2 linked regions of the Tamandua tetradactyla genome follow. The protein of the gene in region 1 binds, or shares a complex with, the protein of each later gene. Links are inferred from orthologs where the notes say so. Each region holds a gene or a part of one and is shown on either strand. Other genes may lie near its edges.

Region 1 (7,711 bases):
CACAAATTAATTACATGAAGCATTATCTGTTTAAAAAACGTAATTTTAAAAATTTAAAGAAAGAACCAGGGTTTCATAGAGAAATGGATGATATCAAGTTTTGTGCTTGGGAAAGGATATGGTGAGCCTGGGACATCTTATTGGGCCAGAAAGCAAGAAAGTGTTCAAAGACTAATAATGCCATGTCAAAAGGACAAAGGAACCAGGTTAAAGAGGTGCCTGCTGACCATGTTGGGGACAAACTAAAAGGAATAATGATAGGTATGTGCACTTTGTGAAAAGTCACTGAGGCTGTACATTTATGATTTGTGCACTTCTCTGCAAATATTTCAATTTTAAAAATTTACTAAATAAATAGAATAAACCCCTAGAATCTTCAAAAAAAAGTGACAGTACTAGATCCCAACACACTGATTTATTTTTTTAAATCCTTATGTCCACAGTAATACAAGAAAGAGATAAAGAAAAAGAATGAATGAAAGGGAGGGAAAATAGAGAGAGAAGGCTCTTCTTTCAGAATGCCAGTAATAAATAAAAAAGGAATAATAAAATTAGAACATCACCATTTTGCAACCCCCAGTATAACAACTAAGATAAAATCAACCATGAACACTAAAACCATTGAATAAAAGTATGGAGGAAGTAGTATATTCACACTACCTAAAAGTATAACCCTCCAAATTACTTGTTAATTACAAACAGAAAAAAAATGAACTTTTACAACTGAGAAATGAAATTTAGCAGCACCAAGAGTGGGACAATATGATTATATGTGCCTCCTGATATAAAAATGGGTATATAACAAGGGGTATGCAACATCATTTATGTAGGATTTTTTCCAAAAATATGTATCCTCTTTATGAGTTTTATGAGACTACAAAAAGAAAAACCTGGAATGTGGTACATTCTACAACACTATGTGATAAACAACAACAACAACAACAAAAAAAAAGGATGGGAGACTCTCCTAAATTAAAAGAGACTAAAAAGACACAACAAACAGATGCAATGCACAAACACAGACTGGATCCTGGATCAAACAAAACAAATCAGCAAGGCTTTTTTTTTTCTCTTTGACAACTGGGGAAATTTGAAAAGTATATTAGATGATGCTACTATTGCAATGTCAACTCTCTAAGTGTGATAACTGTGGTTAGGTAGGAGAAATGTTCTTATTCTTAGGAGATACATGCTGATATATTTAGAGGCAAAGTGTCAGGACATCTGCATCTAACTTTCAAAAGGTTTAGCAAAAAAAAAAAAAAAAAAAAAAAGCACTGGGAGGAGAGGGAGGTACGACTATAAAGGGGTAGCCTGAGGGAGATCTTTGCGGTCACAGAATAGTTCTGTATCTCAGTTGTTTTGGTAGTTACATGAATCTACATATGTGATAAAATGGCATAGAACTATACACACAAATGTGTACAAATGTCAATTTACTGGTTTGACACTTTACAACAGTTATTTAAAACACAACCATTGGTGAAAACTTGGTGAAGGGTACACAGAACCTCTCTCTACTATTTTTGCAAGTTCCTGTGACTGTGATTATTTCAAAATAAAATACATACATTTTTAAAAGTATAGATATATACATCTTTATATGTATTAGAAAAGAGAAAGCAAATGTGGCAACACGTCACTATTGGTGAATGTAGATAAGTATCTAGTGTTCATATACTAGTCCTTTAATTTTTTTACTGATTTGAACATTTTGGAAAGTCTTAAAGAATATTATTAAATAAATAGTGGTATAATTGACTCACAGGTATGGCAAAAATCGTGAGGGTAAAACTCATGACTGATTAAAATGTGGAAAACACTAACGCAGTGTTTTCGTATAAGGTATTTTCATATACTGTATTTCATTTAAACCTCTCACAACCCTGTGTGATACCTCCACCTTGCCCCTATTCCATGAATGTAGGATGTGCCCAAGGTACTCAAGGAGTGAGTGGTTGAGCCAGAGTCCAATTCAAGCCCAAACCTCTTTCTATTGCCACCATTTTACTGCCTCGCTATAAAGTTGTACCAAAGAAACATATAGTTCTAAAAACAAATATTAGTAGAGAACACCGCAGAACACGACAGGCTTCTGACACTCACTTTTGGTTGGTCAGATATCGATCCCAGCCGCGAATAATATTGCCATACATCTGAGTGTCTTCCAGGTAGCTCCCTTCAAAAGCATAGATCTGTCTCTCCAGGTTTGCCAATGTTTCCTGGGAGATGAAAAACATGGACACGGATAATGCCTGTTAAATGCAAACATTAAGTCTGCCCAAACTGAAATCTGGATATGAGACAAAGATCTGTGCTCAAGCACACTAAACCACCCTTGTGGAGAGACTGATGATAATGGAGAGGGGCAGGCTTTTCAGGATGAGGGCAGTCTTGACCTTTTGGACATAACGACCCCTTGAGAATGTAGAGTCAGTCCTCAGTAAAAAACGCATACACATGTAAAAATCCGCATATATTTCAGAAGGTTCATGGACCCGGGCTGAAGCAGAACGTGGGCAGCCTTCACTACCACGCACAAAAGGTCTCGCCACCAGGGAGAGGGAAGAGTGGGCAGTCTTCCTGAGCCTACTCGCTTCCCTCCAGGTTGACTCAGAAAGGCTGCCAGCATTGGGCTGCCAGTTGCTATGGAAACTTGGAAGGATAGGTTCAGGTGATACGGGCCTCCCGGACGCCCAAACCAAAACACGGGAGGGGAGAGCAGTCAGTCTCCAAGGTGCACAGGACCCTGGGTGCACGTCACAACTGCCAGCTCCATAGACCGAGTCCTCTCCCCTCGCCTGTCACCTTCTAGATGTGCAATACCCCATCCAACGAATCTACTCCTAGTCCCCAAAAGGACAGAACCCCCGACCATCCTCCAAAGGTCAGACAGTATCCCCTTCCCACACCCTCCTCGTACCCCACCTCCCCAAAATCCAGGGGCAAATCTGAGCCCCCCGCCCCCCCACACACACAGCCCATGGACACGCCCGCCTACCTTCACCCCTCCAAGATCGCGTACACGTCCGCCCTCACCCACCCCCAAGGGCCACGGACACGCCCGTCCCCACTCCCCAGGCTCACACACACTCGCCCTTTCTACAGCGCCCACACACAGCCCGCCCCCTCCCCAAAGGCGCCTTCCTTCCTCCACGCCCCTCCTTTCTCCAACCCCTCCTTCTCCCCGGCTCCCGCGCCCCGCCCCCCGGCCCGAGGCCCGGCCCCGGGTCCCAGCTCCGAACCCGAACAACCGGAAAGCAGAGGCGGCCGCGGGCCACGGAATGGCAGCCGGGTCTCAGGCCGCCGGCGTCCCAGCCCGCCGCTGCGCCCCCGGAGTAACGGCCAGACGCCGCCGGGCTGGCGCCCGGGGGAGGGGGTTGGAGCGGAGCCCCGACCTGGGCGCCCCCGGCCCCCGACGCTCACCGCCAGCTCCTGCTTCCGTTTCACGAGCTCGGCCAGCTCCCGCCGGGTGTCGGGGATCTGAGGAGGCGCCGCCTTGTTGTGCATCGCCATGTTGGGCTAAGGCGGGCGGCGGCGGCGGCGCGAAGCTAGGGGCGGTCCCTGCGCGCTGTCGCGGGTCCGCGAGGGGGCGCCCCGCCGCCGCCCTGCGCCTGCGCGCGCGGCTTCCGGAGCCGCTCGTCCAGCCGCGTTCTGGCATTTGGTTCTCGCTGGCCCTGCTGAGAGAATCCCACTCGTCTGGTGTTCTGCTCCTAGATTGACGGCTGGCCTTTGCAGATATCACAAACTCACCATGCCCCCAAACAGGCTCTTCCTTAAACTTCCGCAGTCTCTTCTTCGGTGAATAATTTTCATTATCCTTCCCAGTTGCCTAAATCAAAAACCTGGGATCACCCTCACTCTCCCTCACCCCTTTAACCTAATCCCATTTCCAAGCCCTGTGGACGCAACTCCAGAAGAGCTCTTAAACTGTTTGCTTCTGTCCATCCCCTCTGCTGCTTTCCTTCTTGCCCTATTTTTAAAAAATATTTTATTGAGATACCTTCAGGCACCACACAGTCCATCCCAAGTATACAATTTGGTATGACGATATCATCACATATTTGTGTATTCAATACCATGATCATTTTTGGAACATTTGCATCATTCCAGAAAAAAGAAAGTCAAAATAAAAACTCCATACATTCCATATCCTTTACCCCTCCCTCTCATTCAGCACTAGTTTGCAATCTACCCCAATTTTTTTACTCCTTTCCCACCCCCTATTATTTATTATTTTGTGTATTTATTTATTTATTTATTTATTTATTTATTTATTTATTTTTACAAGGGAAGACACCGGAAAACGAACCCGGGTCTCCGTCATGACAGGCCAGAACTCTGCCACTACCCTGTTTTTTTTGTTTGTTTGTTTTTAATTCATCTGTCCGTACCTTGGATAAAGGGAGTGTCAGCCACAAGGTTTTCACAATCACACAGTCACATTGTGAAAGCTATACAGTTATACATTTGTCTTCAAGAATCAAGGCTGCTGTAATGACTTGTGAGGCATGCAACTAGGTGTATGATATTTAATGAAATGTCAGGAACAAAAAGACAAATATTATGTCTCAGTCATATGGACTATAATATAAAAACTTGGTGAACTAAAGTCAAGAACATAGGTTATCAGGTTGGGGCCTATTGTAAAGGGTCCCAGATTGTAAGCTCTTGCAGTAGTCACATATATTCAGGAGTTGTAACAGCTATTTCTAAATTCTGAGATCCTGAGCTGTTTGTTTGTAACCTGGTTGTTCCCAGAAACTTCAGGTATTTATGTGACACCTGCGACTCAAAGAGTTAGAGCTATGAAGCTATGAAAGTCAGCAGTACCCCGTATAGGAACTGTTTAAAAAGTTGAAAAAGTAATCAGACTTTGAGTAGAGAGGTGAATGAAGCTGATCTAGATAGGACTAAGGTAGATCAGAACACAGGGTAAGGATGACATCCTACATATTTTAAAACTTCAACTTCTGTGTAAGCAGTGGGGACAACCAAATCAATAGGCTGAGCCCTTGATTTGGGGGTTTGCCCCCATGAAACTTATTCCAGCAAAGGATCGGCTAAGCTTACTTAAAATTAGGCCTAAGAGTCACCTCCCAGAGAACCTCTTTTGTTGCTCAAATGTGGCCTCTCTCTCTAAGCCAGCTCAGCAGGTGAACTCACTGCCCTCCATCCCCCATGGGACATGACTTGCAGGGGTATAAATCTCCCTGGCTGGCATCAAGTGATTGAGAAAACATTCTTGACCAAAAGGGGAAAAGAGAAATGAAACAAAGTGCCAGTGGCTGAGAGATTTTAAACAGACTCAAGAGGTTACCCTGAAGGTTATTTTTATGCATTATATAGTTATCCCTTTTTACTTTATGATGTATTGGAGTGGCTGCAGGGAACTACCTGAAACTGTTGAGCTGTGTTCCAGTAGCCTTGATTCTTGAAGACAAATGTATAAAGATACAAATTTTACAATGTAATGCTGTGATTGTGAAAACCTGTGTCTGATACTCCTTTTATTCAGGGTATGGACAGATGAGTGAAAAAATATATATGGATAAAAATAAATAAATAATGGGGATGTGGACAAAGGGTAAAATAAATTGAGTAGATGGAAATACTAGTGGTCAGTGAGGGAGGGGTGAGGAGTATGGTATGTATGAGTTTTTTCTTTTTATATGTTTTTCTGAAATGATGTAAATGTTCTAAAAAAAATGATCATGGTGATGAATACACAACTATGTGATGATATTGTGAGCCATTGATTGTACACCATGTATGGAATGTATGTGTGTGAAGAGTTGTTAAAAAAAGAAAAGGGAAAAAAAAGTTTGGAAAAAGCCTTAGAGCTGAGACAGCCCACACAACCACAGACCTTTGGAGCAGAAGGAGAACATACCCAGGGAAGCCTTATGAAATGAGAAGACAGGAGACAAAGCTAGCGGACATTGCCATGTGCCTTCCCAGCTGACAGAGGTGTTCTGGACCCATTGGCCTTTCTTGAATCAGAGTATCTTTCCCTGGATGCCTTAGTTTGGACATTTTCACAGCTTAGAATTGTAAACTTGCAACTTAACAAACTCCTTTTTTAAAATCCAAAAAAGAGGGAAAAAAAAAGAATCAAGGCTACTGGAATACAGTTCAAGAGTTTCAGGTACTTCCCTCTAGCCACTCCAATACACCATAAACTAAAAACAGTATCTATATGTTGTGTAAGAATAACCTCCAGGATAAACTCTAAACCCTGTTTGAAATCCCTCAGCCGCTGAAACTGTTTTGTCTCATTTCTGTCTTCCCTGTTTTGGTCAAGGTTTTCTCAATCCCATGATGCCAGTCACAGTTCATCCCCAGGAGTTATGTCCCACGTTGCCGGGGAGATTTAGGCCCCTGGAAGTCATATCTCACATAGCAGGGAGATCAGTGAGTTCATCTGCCAAGTTGTTGTTGCCCTATTTTGACTACTTTATTCCAACAGCCTCTTTATTTCCGCTTTCAGACTTCTTTTAACCCATTATCCATAATGGTGCTGGGGTGGTCTTCCAAAAACAAATTTGATGTTGCTACCATGGTTATAAGGCCTTAGACAGACAAGTACGTGTCTGGTTAAGAGTACAAACTGAAATCATAACTACCTGGCTCAACAAATGAAATCAGAAAGAAAGATAGACAATAAAGACTGAGATGGTGATGATATTGTGGATTGCCGACTGTGTGTGTGGAGCGATCAGAGTGGGAATATTTGCGTTTGTTTGGTGTCTTTTGGTATTTAAAAAAATAAAATTAAAAAAAATACTGAGATGGTATAATCTAGGAATGCCTAGAGTGTATAATGATAGTGACTAAATGTACAAATTTAAAAATGTTTTTGCATGAGGAAGAACAAAGGAATGTCATTACTGCAGGGTGCTGAAAATAGATGGTAATTAATATTTAAAATTTTTAACTTATGTATGAGACTAAAGCAAAAAATGTTTATTTGGTGCAAAATTTATATTTTGACTAGTGCATTTCCTAATGTAACTTATGTAGATAGCTTAATTGAACACGATAAGCACATGGAACCTTGAGTAGGGCACGAGATTTTGTTGGTTTGTCCAGAACGATGCCCCAATAAATCCCAGAGTGATTTGAACAGTGAATAAAAAAGTATCTGCAAAGTCCCCTTTGGGGAATAGTGAGAAAGGGGGAAAATTCAACTTCCCCAAGTTGAATTCTTGATATTCTCACAAGCAATGGGGACAACCAAAGCTATAGGCTGAGCCCCCAGTCTTGGGGGTTGTTCCTATGAAACTAAACCCCACAAAGGATAGGTCAAGCCTACTTAAAATTAGGACAAAGAGTCCCCCCCAAGAGAACCTCTTTTTTTGCTCAGATGTGGCCTCTCTCTCCAGCCAATATAACAAGCCAACTCACTGCCCTCCTCCTGTCTATGTGGGACATGACTCCCAGGGGTGTGGACCTTCCTGGCAACGTGGGACAGAAATCCTAGAATGAGCTGAGACTCAGCATCAAGGGATTGAGAAAACCTTCGCGACCAAAGGGGGAAGAGTGAAATGAGACAAAATAAAGTGTCAATGGCTGAGAGATTCCAAACAGAGTCGAGAGATTATCCTGAAGATTATTCTTATGCATTAAATAGATATCACCTTGTTAGTCAAGATGTAATAGAGATTCCAAGAAATGGTCATGATGATGAGTATGCAACTATGTGATGATA
Region 2 (8,757 bases), on another chromosome or scaffold:
GCAGCGAACATGCCCATGTCAGCAAAGGGCAAACAGAAACTCGGCGTCGCGCGGCTTGAGGTCGGTGGCCAAGACGGTCAAAAAGTACCCAGGCCCGCGGCAGCGGCTAATGGACTGGGGGTGGGAGCGCGCGCCTCCACTCTGCCCCTGGAGGCAGTCGGCGGGACCGCAGGCTGGAGGCGCGCGGGCGTGATTCCGACCGCGGGAGCCGGGAGGAGGAGCCGGAGGTGGCTGCGGGGGGCGCGGGCCCGGCGAAGGAAGGGCAGGAGGCGGTTCGGGCCCGGGACAGCGCCGGGCAATGGGCGTGACACCGGGAGGGGAGAGGTTTAGGGGATGCAGGGAAAGGCAGCTGGACCCTTTGCGGGTTGGGCAGCTGTATACAGGAGAGGTGGTAAGGTTCGGGGAGGGGGTGGGTCCTGGGCCTCTGGAAGCTCGAGCGGAGCCTTCCTGCCCATCTCGCAGACATCCCCATCGTCTGGCAGAACAACTACGCCTCGCCAGGCAGCCCCCCGCCTCCCATCCCTCGGCCGAGAGAAGGGGGTGTCTCAGGGCCCAGTATGGGCGGGAAGGGACCGGAGGGAGCCACAAGTCTGCACCCAGGAGGGGAGGAGGCGGGCGGGAGCCGCTCCGCAGGCGCAGGCGAGTGGGTGGGAAGGAGGGAGGGAGAAAGGGAGGAAGGAGGTGAGGCTGGGAAGATGCCACTGCCGGGGGCGGGGCGGGGCCGGTGATCCGGCAGAGGGACTGCAGCGGTTTTGGTGGGGGCGGGGGCTGCAATGTCACTCATGTGGGGGTCAGGTGTGTGCGTCCCAGGCAGGGGCCGCCACGCGCCTACATCTTCCCGGTACCACCCTGGGCGCCGGGGGGGAGGCGGAGAGCAGAGGGACTGCGGAGCCGTCCCCGGAGCGGGACGCGAACCGGCAGAGTTGGGAGAAGGTAAACAACGGCCACGCCCCCTGCCGTCGCCCCGCGGGCGCGCACCCGCCGCCCCAGCAGCCGCCGGTACATTTCCACTCTCCCAGCGCCTCTACCCCGCCGGACTCCCGCGCAGCCCCGGAGGGGTGGTTGCCCCCAACTCCAGCCCGCGCCTCGGCGCCGGGGCCGTGCACTTCCCCCCACTCACCTGGAAAGAGCGTCTCCCGCATATCCAAAAAACTGTCTTAATTTGTGCAGAGCCTCGGCGCCCGGGAGCCAAGCATGCTGCCCCCGCGTGCAGCTCCCGCGTGCACCCAGCCCGGAGAGGGGGCGAGAGAGCGGAGGCGGTGGCCTCCGGAAGGTGTCTGGGGCCGGACTAGCTGCACGTGAGCCCAGTGCGGGGTCATGTGCACCAGCTCAGCCCGGTTCGGCGCCCGGACGTGCTGCGTATCAACAAAATGAAACTCGGGGCGACAGGAGGGCAGATAGCTCCAGGTCCTGAGCAGCGCCCCCCCCCCCCGGGGGGCAGTCGACAGCCGCCCCCCACCCCCGCACCCTTTACCCACCGCAGCCCCTGCTCCCGGCCCGAGCCGCGGGGCAAGTTGCAGCACCGGCGCGCCCCCGCCCGCCCGCGCCCCCTCGCCGGTCCGGGGGCGCTTTGCCGCAGTCATTAATAAAGAAGGTCGCCAAGCTCACCCTTCCAAAAGTTGTTGTTGCATGCGCCCCTCTCAGCCTCCCCGCACTGTACTCTTTAAAACACGACTGACCAACATGCGCAATCTCTCTCCCCAGTGCTGTGCATCTCACCACCCCCCCTACCCCCCGCCCCCCGGCGCTGGCTTCCTAGAACAGGCAGCCAGCAGGAGAGGGAGCGAGTGAGCAAGAGAGAGCGAGGGAGCGAGAAGCGCTGGCAGATCTGTTGCAAAAACACAAAATAATGCCGTAGAGATGCGCAGGGCCCTTCCACTGGAGGGTGGATCTTACCTTGCTCCGCTGTGCCCTCCCGAGGGGCGCTGCCCTCGGCTACGCGCCACAGCGGGGGCCGGCGCGGAAAGGATGCTCCCGAAACCCGGAGCTCCTGGGGCCGGCGCGGAAGGGCGGGGGGCGCGCATCCATCCGGGGTCGCGGCGAGGGAGGGAGCCGGGCCCGCGGCCTCCCCAGCCACGGACGATCAACCCGCGAGACCCCAGCGGGCGCGGCTAGGAGTGGGCGCAAAGTAACTCCATGGACGCTACTCGCTTCCCCCCACCACCTCCAAATAGCCTCCAACTGCGATGGCCGCGGTCGGCACCATTTACCAACCCCCTGTGTATGTTTCTGTTTCTTTTTAAACCAAGACTTCCTTGTGATCTCTTTAGAAAAAAAAAAAAATGTGTTGAGGTGGGGGTGGGGGTGGGGGTAGGGGCGGGCGGGAGGAGCGAGGGTGGGGGAGTAGCCACTTTTTTTCTTATTCACTCCGATCTCCGCTCTTGACACTCCTGTCGTCCGACACCCCCCCCCCCCGTACCCCCCCACACCCAGTTGTTTGGCTCCCGCGGTGCATCCAGGTAGCGTTGCGGGCCCCGCAGGGAGGGTGCCCTGTCGAGCCGCCCGCCTACCGACACCCCGGGCTCGGGCTCCCCACCGGCTCGGGGGCGCCCCCAGCCCGCCCTGTCCCCAGGGCCGGGCCTGAGCGGCGGCTGCGCCCGTGCAAGTCCCATCAGGTCTGCTCACACTTCACACACTCACACACATACTCCGCCCCTCCACTCTCTCACTCACACTTTCTGCTCACACCCCGCCCCCTTCGCTCCCCAGACCCGGGCGGCGCCCCCCGCAACCTTAAAAAAAAAAAAGAAGCAAGCTTATACTTAAAAAAATCTTTTGGCGCCATATTAATGACGTACTTAAAATTTGCCATTTCTCCCTGCGTCAAAAAGACGTTTCTTCGCAAATAACAGCCTGGAGGCGACGCTCGCGGAGGGAACGAGGTTTGCACTGAGCACCCGCCCCCCAGGGCTCCAGCGCTAGAAGCCCCTCGCCCTAGGCCTTACTCTGGAATCACTGGTTTTAAAATGCGAATTGAATAAATCGCGTGGCGTTTCCCAGCCCAGCGCTAGAAGTGAGCAGAAAGTGCTAGCAGGAGCGGAGGGGAGGGGCGCGCGCGAGTCTGGGGGAGGGGGCGCGGCCCTCCTCCCCCACCCACGCCAGATGGAAACTAACGTCCCCGGCGGGGGGAAACTTGAAATTGTAGGCGACCTCAAAAAAAGGAGGGGCGGTCGGTAGAGAGGGTCCCTCGCCGGCTCGCCGCCCCTTACCCCCGCTCGGGTGTCTCCTGGCGCCCGGCGCTGCCCCGCATTTCCGGGGGGTGGGGTGGGGTGGGGAAGGCGGTGATGGGTGGGTGGGTGGCTGCACATCCTGACCCCCGTGGGAGTTTGCATTTGCCCCGGAGTAACCCCGTCTCCCTAGTTCACCACCCCGTTCCCCGAGGCTCCGAAAGGGTTAAAAAACGAGGGGCAACTTCCAAGGGCTGGCACTTGGCGAGGAAGCAGGGCGCCCCTCTCCCCACCCTTCGCCTCCTCGCCCCTCCTCCTCCGGCTCCAGTTCCCGACTTGACCTTGTGGTGCACAAACAGTGCGCTCGGATCCTCGCAGTTTCTGGAAGAAGAGCCTGCGATCGCCGGGCAGGCGGGCTGGCGGGCGGCTGCGGGGCGGTGGCGGGGCCTGGGGGCCGATCCCGGAGCCGCGGGCCACACCCACCCGGGCCGCTGCGCCCGCCGCGCTCACCTTCTCTCGAGGAAGGAGAAAGGTTGGCCTCCGGGATGGGCACTAGGGAGGTGGGGTGGGGGCAGTTGCATCCTCCCGCGGATGCCCACAGCCGTGGACGAGGTAGTCTGTGGTGTGGCCTTGGGCAGGGCAGAGGAGGAGGGAGACCTAGGAGCTGGGGCCAACATCTCCAAAGCATCACTGCCAACTTTTTCTTCCCCCCCCCCCATCCCACGTCCTTCTTGGCAGCCCCTCAGAGATGATCCAATCTTTTTTTTTTCCCGGTTCACCTTTGGCAGTTCACCTATGGCACCAGGGTAAACTGAGAAGTGGCTCAGGAACCACCTTATCTCTCCAAGACTGAAGATTGTTTATTCTTTCTTTCCCCTCCACCCCCTTCCAAGGAAAGATAAATATTCAATTTACATAACATGACATTTATGTGACAATTAAGAAGATTCCCCGATGGAATATTGTGAACACATTTGCTTATAGGAGAAATAAATCTAATAATAAACAAACTCGTAATAACAGCACAAATCCTCTGACAGAGAGGATTGTTTACACAACAAAGAGGGAGATGATTAAAAATGCTGAAATAAGCACTTTTTGCAACCAGAAAGAACTATGATCTCAAAGGGAGTCCCTGCAACACTTCTCCTCCTTGGCCTTCATTCACAAGATGGGGTGTGGGAGGTGCGGGAGCTTATCCGGCAAGACTAGGGGCAGGTGGACTAACCATCACCTGGCTCTGGCTCTCCATGATCAGTGGATAGGATTTTCCCAAGCCTAGGTCAGGGCCTGCAAAACAGGTGTCATGGGCTGTGGTGCAGTAACAAAATGGTTAAATTCTTGGATTCTAGTCCTGGCTCTGCCTCTCAGAAGCTGTGTGGTATGGGCAAGTGAGTTCATCTTTCTAGTTCTCTTCTTCTTCATCTGTAGAAGGGGGCAGTTGTGGGTTCCTGAGGTCATACGTCCGTGTGGACGTGTGTGTGTACATGTGCATTTGGACGTGTGTGTGTGTACATGTGCAGGCACATGCAGGTAAACAGGGCCTGGCTCAGAGCACACGTGTGCAGTAAGCAGCCCACTCCCCCATCTACTGTATGCTGTTTGGAAAGGTTAATGTGCTCTCCCAAAACTCTTAACTCTGAAAAACTGGGGGACGATTATTTCTGTCAACACACAAAAGGGAGGGCCAGGATAAAAAAACATAATGGACAGTGGCCTTGATGGTCAAGGTCCAGGCAGCACTCTCAGCCACACTGGAGTTGGGGGTCACCAATTTACAGCAGCCCAGTCCCGGGGATCTGCTCTGCTTGGGCCTGGCTCCGAAGGATTTGTATGTAGGAGAGGACAAGTCAGGCTGTCTGCTCCCAGGTGTCAGGATCCCATGATCTAAAATGGGGAAATACCTTAGTAGGCAATTATAAAATGACCTAGAGGAGGGGGTCACCATTTCTAGAGCGCCTGCTTTGTGCTGGCAAACCCCCCTTCTTAGCTGTTCACCAAGGTGTAGTAACTTACCAACGGTCCCATGGCTTGTAAGTGTTGGCAGAATTGGCACCTAGATCTACCTGACCCCAAGATCTGTGCGGCTCTCATTTTACTACCCTGCCAGAAATAGAAAGTACTGGTATGATTGGTTTGACTCCGGTTGAGGCCTGATTTGGCAAAGAGAGCAGGATTTTACTGGCTGCATTTTGACCCTGAGGTGGTTCTCTAAGCTTGGGTGAGCCCTCCATCCCGTGAAGGGTCCTTGGGAGATACCTGTGGTTTAAGTCTGGAAATCCCATCAGGACCCTTGGGTTCTCATTAACCTTAGAAATGTTAACATAATGATAATGATGAAGCTAATTTATAACTACTTAATCTTTATTAAAAGTTTCATAAATCATTAACTTTGCAGAATACGAAAAGAAAAGAAACAGAGTTCTTGGAGATGTAATCATTTGTTGACTCACATATATTTATTGAGTGCCTCCCGTACGCCCGGTACTCTTCTGCTTGCTGAGGGCACACGGCACGAACAAAACAGACAGATAAAAATCCTTGCTCTGATCTCATGGGACTTACTTTCTAGTGGAAGGAGATACATAATGTATATACTCTGTGTTTGAAGGTAGGTGCCATGGAGAAAATTAAGTAGAATTGGGTGATAGGGAGATAGCAGTTCCTTAGGGAGACCTCACTGAGATGTGGCTTTTGAGCAAAAGAAGGTAAAGGAGTGAGCAGTAAGGGTTAATGGGGAAAGATCATTCTAGTCAGGGGTTCTTAACCTGGATTCTTAAGAGGTCTAAGAAGTCCTTTAAGAGATCTCTGGATAAAATTCAGGGGTTCTTGACCTTAGATGGGAAAAAAATGTAATTTAGCATAATTTTCAATTATGAATTCAGAAACAAATCACAGTGGTGTTAGCAACTGTGACGCTGTTGCTAGTAGAAATCAGATATTTTTATATCACATTACAGTTGTTGCGGCTATCTGAAAATATCATTACACTCACCGCTATTTCAAAATTAGGCTGCTATGTCTTGTAATTTAAATGAATTAAGAAGCGTATGTATTACTATATAGTACATTTAAAAATATTTTGAGAGTGATTTTCAATATAATTGATTTTCTTTGTAATTTATGTAACTTATTGTAAGGATTAACAATTATTGTACTCAGTTGTCCACAGCCTTCACAGAAGCCAGAGGAGGAGTCCATGGCACCAAAGATGGTTGAGAACCACTGTCACTGCAAAGAGACCAGCAAACACAAATGCCCCGAGGCATTAAGGTGCTTAATATGCATAAGGAAGAGTTATCTAGGGCCTTGTAGGGAGTGGTTAGGAATTTAGCTTTTTGCTGGAATTGAGACAGGAAGCACTGGAGAGTTTTAAGCAGAACAGCGACATGACCTGAGGTACTGGGTTTTACAGGTCACTCTGGCTGCTGTGTAGCAGACAGACCGAAGGGGCCAGGATATTGGCAGGAAGACCAGTTAAGAGGTCACTTCAACACACCAGGTAAGAGATGTGCTTAAGATGGATCATCAGGGGGTAGCAGTGAAAGTGATAAGAAGTTGACATCTGTATGTATTTTAAAGGTAACTCTATCAAGATTTACTGATGGATTAGCTGTGGGGTATGAGAGAGGGAAAGAAGTTGAAGATGACTTCAAGGGTTTTGCCTTGAACCAGTGGAAGAATCGAGTTGCCGTGAACTGATATGGGGGAGATGTGAAAGGAGTAGGCTTTGGGGGGAGGCTGAAGAGCTCAGCCTTGGACATGTTAAGATTGAGATGCCTGTTAGCATTTAAGTGCTGCCATTCCATAGACAGCTAGACCGGGCAGTCTCAGCTCAGGGCTAAAGAGAGTGGTCAGCAGATGGATGGTATTTCATGCTATCTGAGATCACCAAAGAAGTGAGGGTAGACAGAGAAGAAGCCCAGCGATGATGCCTTTGGACACTGCAAGGTTAAGAGGTCTGGGAAATGACGAGGAATCAGCAAAGATGTTTTTGTGTTTTGTTTTTTTTTTTAAAAAAGCATCCAGATCGCTAGGAAGAAAGTCCAAAGAATATGATGTCCTGGAAGTCCTAGTGAAAAGAGAGTTTCAAAAGGGAGGAAAGCCCTATGTTCAAAGCTACAAAGCAGTCAGAAAGAGAAAGGTTGAGAATTCACCGGATTCAGCAACGCGGATGTCATTGGTGACCTTGACAAGAGTCGTGTCAGTGGAGTGGTGCAGACGAAAGCTTGATTGGAGTGAGTTCAAGAGAGTGGGGAGGTTTATACTTGTTACTAGCTAGTTCCAAGATGCTACCTAAAAATAAAATGCCCTTCATTTGTATATATCTTTGTGAATGTGTGTAAAGATGGATAACCAAAAATCTGTAGAAATTCAATTCAAACAGCTTTTGTTGAGGATCTTCCCCATGGTGGCTCGGTGCTGGATGCCACGGATACAGTGAGAAATAAAACACATTCACTGACTTGCAAGAGTTCACAGGAGTTCACAGTCTACCAAACCTCTTTGACACCTGAAATACACACAAGGCAATGCATAGGGCTAATTATATACAGTCTGTCTGGGCATCAGCTTTTCCAGTGTAGTAGGCATTACGTTTAAGACTGAATTCCAGGGCCAGGAAGTCCTGGGTTGGAATCTGGTCTCTGTCATTCACCAGCTCTGTGACTTTGCATGAGTTACTTAACCTCTCTGTGCTTTGGTTTCCTCTTCTGTAAGCTAGAGATGCAACCATTTCCAAATTACTGGAAATAATTGTCTGGGATGCTTGTTTAAAATGCAGATTGCTGGATCTCATCTTCAAAGGTTCTCAAGGGGTAGGTCCAGAGCAGGGCCCAGGAATCTGCATTTTTAACCAGCAGCTGGTCATTCTTGATGCCCTAGGCCTTGAACCACACTTTGTAAAACACTGAGAGCATGCCCACACGGTACTGAGCACTGGTCTGGCCCTCAGTAGACAATAGCCACTCCTCCAGGAGCCCTTGTGAGGAACAAAAAGCCTTTCAAACAGCTCGATGTGTGTGTCCAGAGGCACAGGTCCAGCATATCCTGAGCACCCTAAATGGAGAAACCCACATGAGATTTGGTTAATATTCATTCGCTGAATATTTACTGAGTGCGCCAGGTGGGAAGTCCTCATTCGGCATTCGGATTCCCCGTCCATGTTCACTTGTTGGCTGCTTAAGGCAGTGCCTGTCTAGTGGTGGCATGCAGATACCTCACCTGGGATCTCGTTAAAGTACAGATTATGATATAGTGGGTCTGGGGTGGGGCCTGAGAATCTGCATTTCTAACAAGCTCCAAGATGATGCTGATGCTACTGGTCCACTGCTCACACTTGAAATAGCACAGGTTTGAACAGTTAGGAAAATTGGGTCACAACACTTGCCCTAACCTTAGGGTTCCCAGGGAATTCCTGGGAATCCTGAAGGGGAAGGGTGGAATTAGAGAAGCAATCTGAAGACATATTGATTGCACAGGTACAACTGAGGTTTGCTCACGCTTCCTTCTGTCTCCTATATCTGGGATCCAGTCCTTGCTGCCCTCCCACACCTAGTCAGTGGCATTAGATGGGCTACTTTGAGGGAGG

What was found. The genes of interacting proteins can lie anywhere in the genome.
Region 2: MEAF6 (region 1) and JADE2 share a complex: the UniProt entries of both Homo sapiens proteins name them as parts of the HBO1 complex. The link is inferred for Tamandua tetradactyla from reciprocal best matches to the Homo sapiens genes MEAF6 and JADE2.

What each region holds. Positions count from the first base shown.
Region 1 is NC_135328.1:187,800,768-187,808,478, reverse strand, and holds the start of MEAF6 (chromatin modification-related protein MEAF6), read right to left. Parts: upstream 3,592-7,711; 5' UTR 3,517-3,591; coding exon 3,427-3,516; intron 2,655-3,426; exon of another isoform or gene 2,463-2,654; coding exon of another isoform or gene 2,400-2,462; intron 2,223-2,399; coding exon 2,107-2,222; intron 1-2,106.
Region 2 is NC_135346.1:13,591,170-13,599,926, reverse strand, and holds the start of JADE2 (E3 ubiquitin-protein ligase Jade-2), read right to left. Parts: upstream 3,614-8,757; 5' UTR 3,509-3,613; intron 3,245-3,508; exon of another isoform or gene 3,210-3,244; intron 3,185-3,209; exon of another isoform or gene 2,799-3,184; intron 2,006-2,798; exon of another isoform or gene 1,897-2,005; intron 1,879-1,896; exon of another isoform or gene 1,609-1,878; intron 1,306-1,608; exon of another isoform or gene 1,121-1,305; intron 1-1,120. UniProt on the Homo sapiens protein: Scaffold subunit of some HBO1 complexes, which have a histone H4 acetyltransferase activity. Acts as an E3 ubiquitin-protein ligase mediating the ubiquitination and subsequent proteasomal degradation of target protein histone demethylase KDM1A.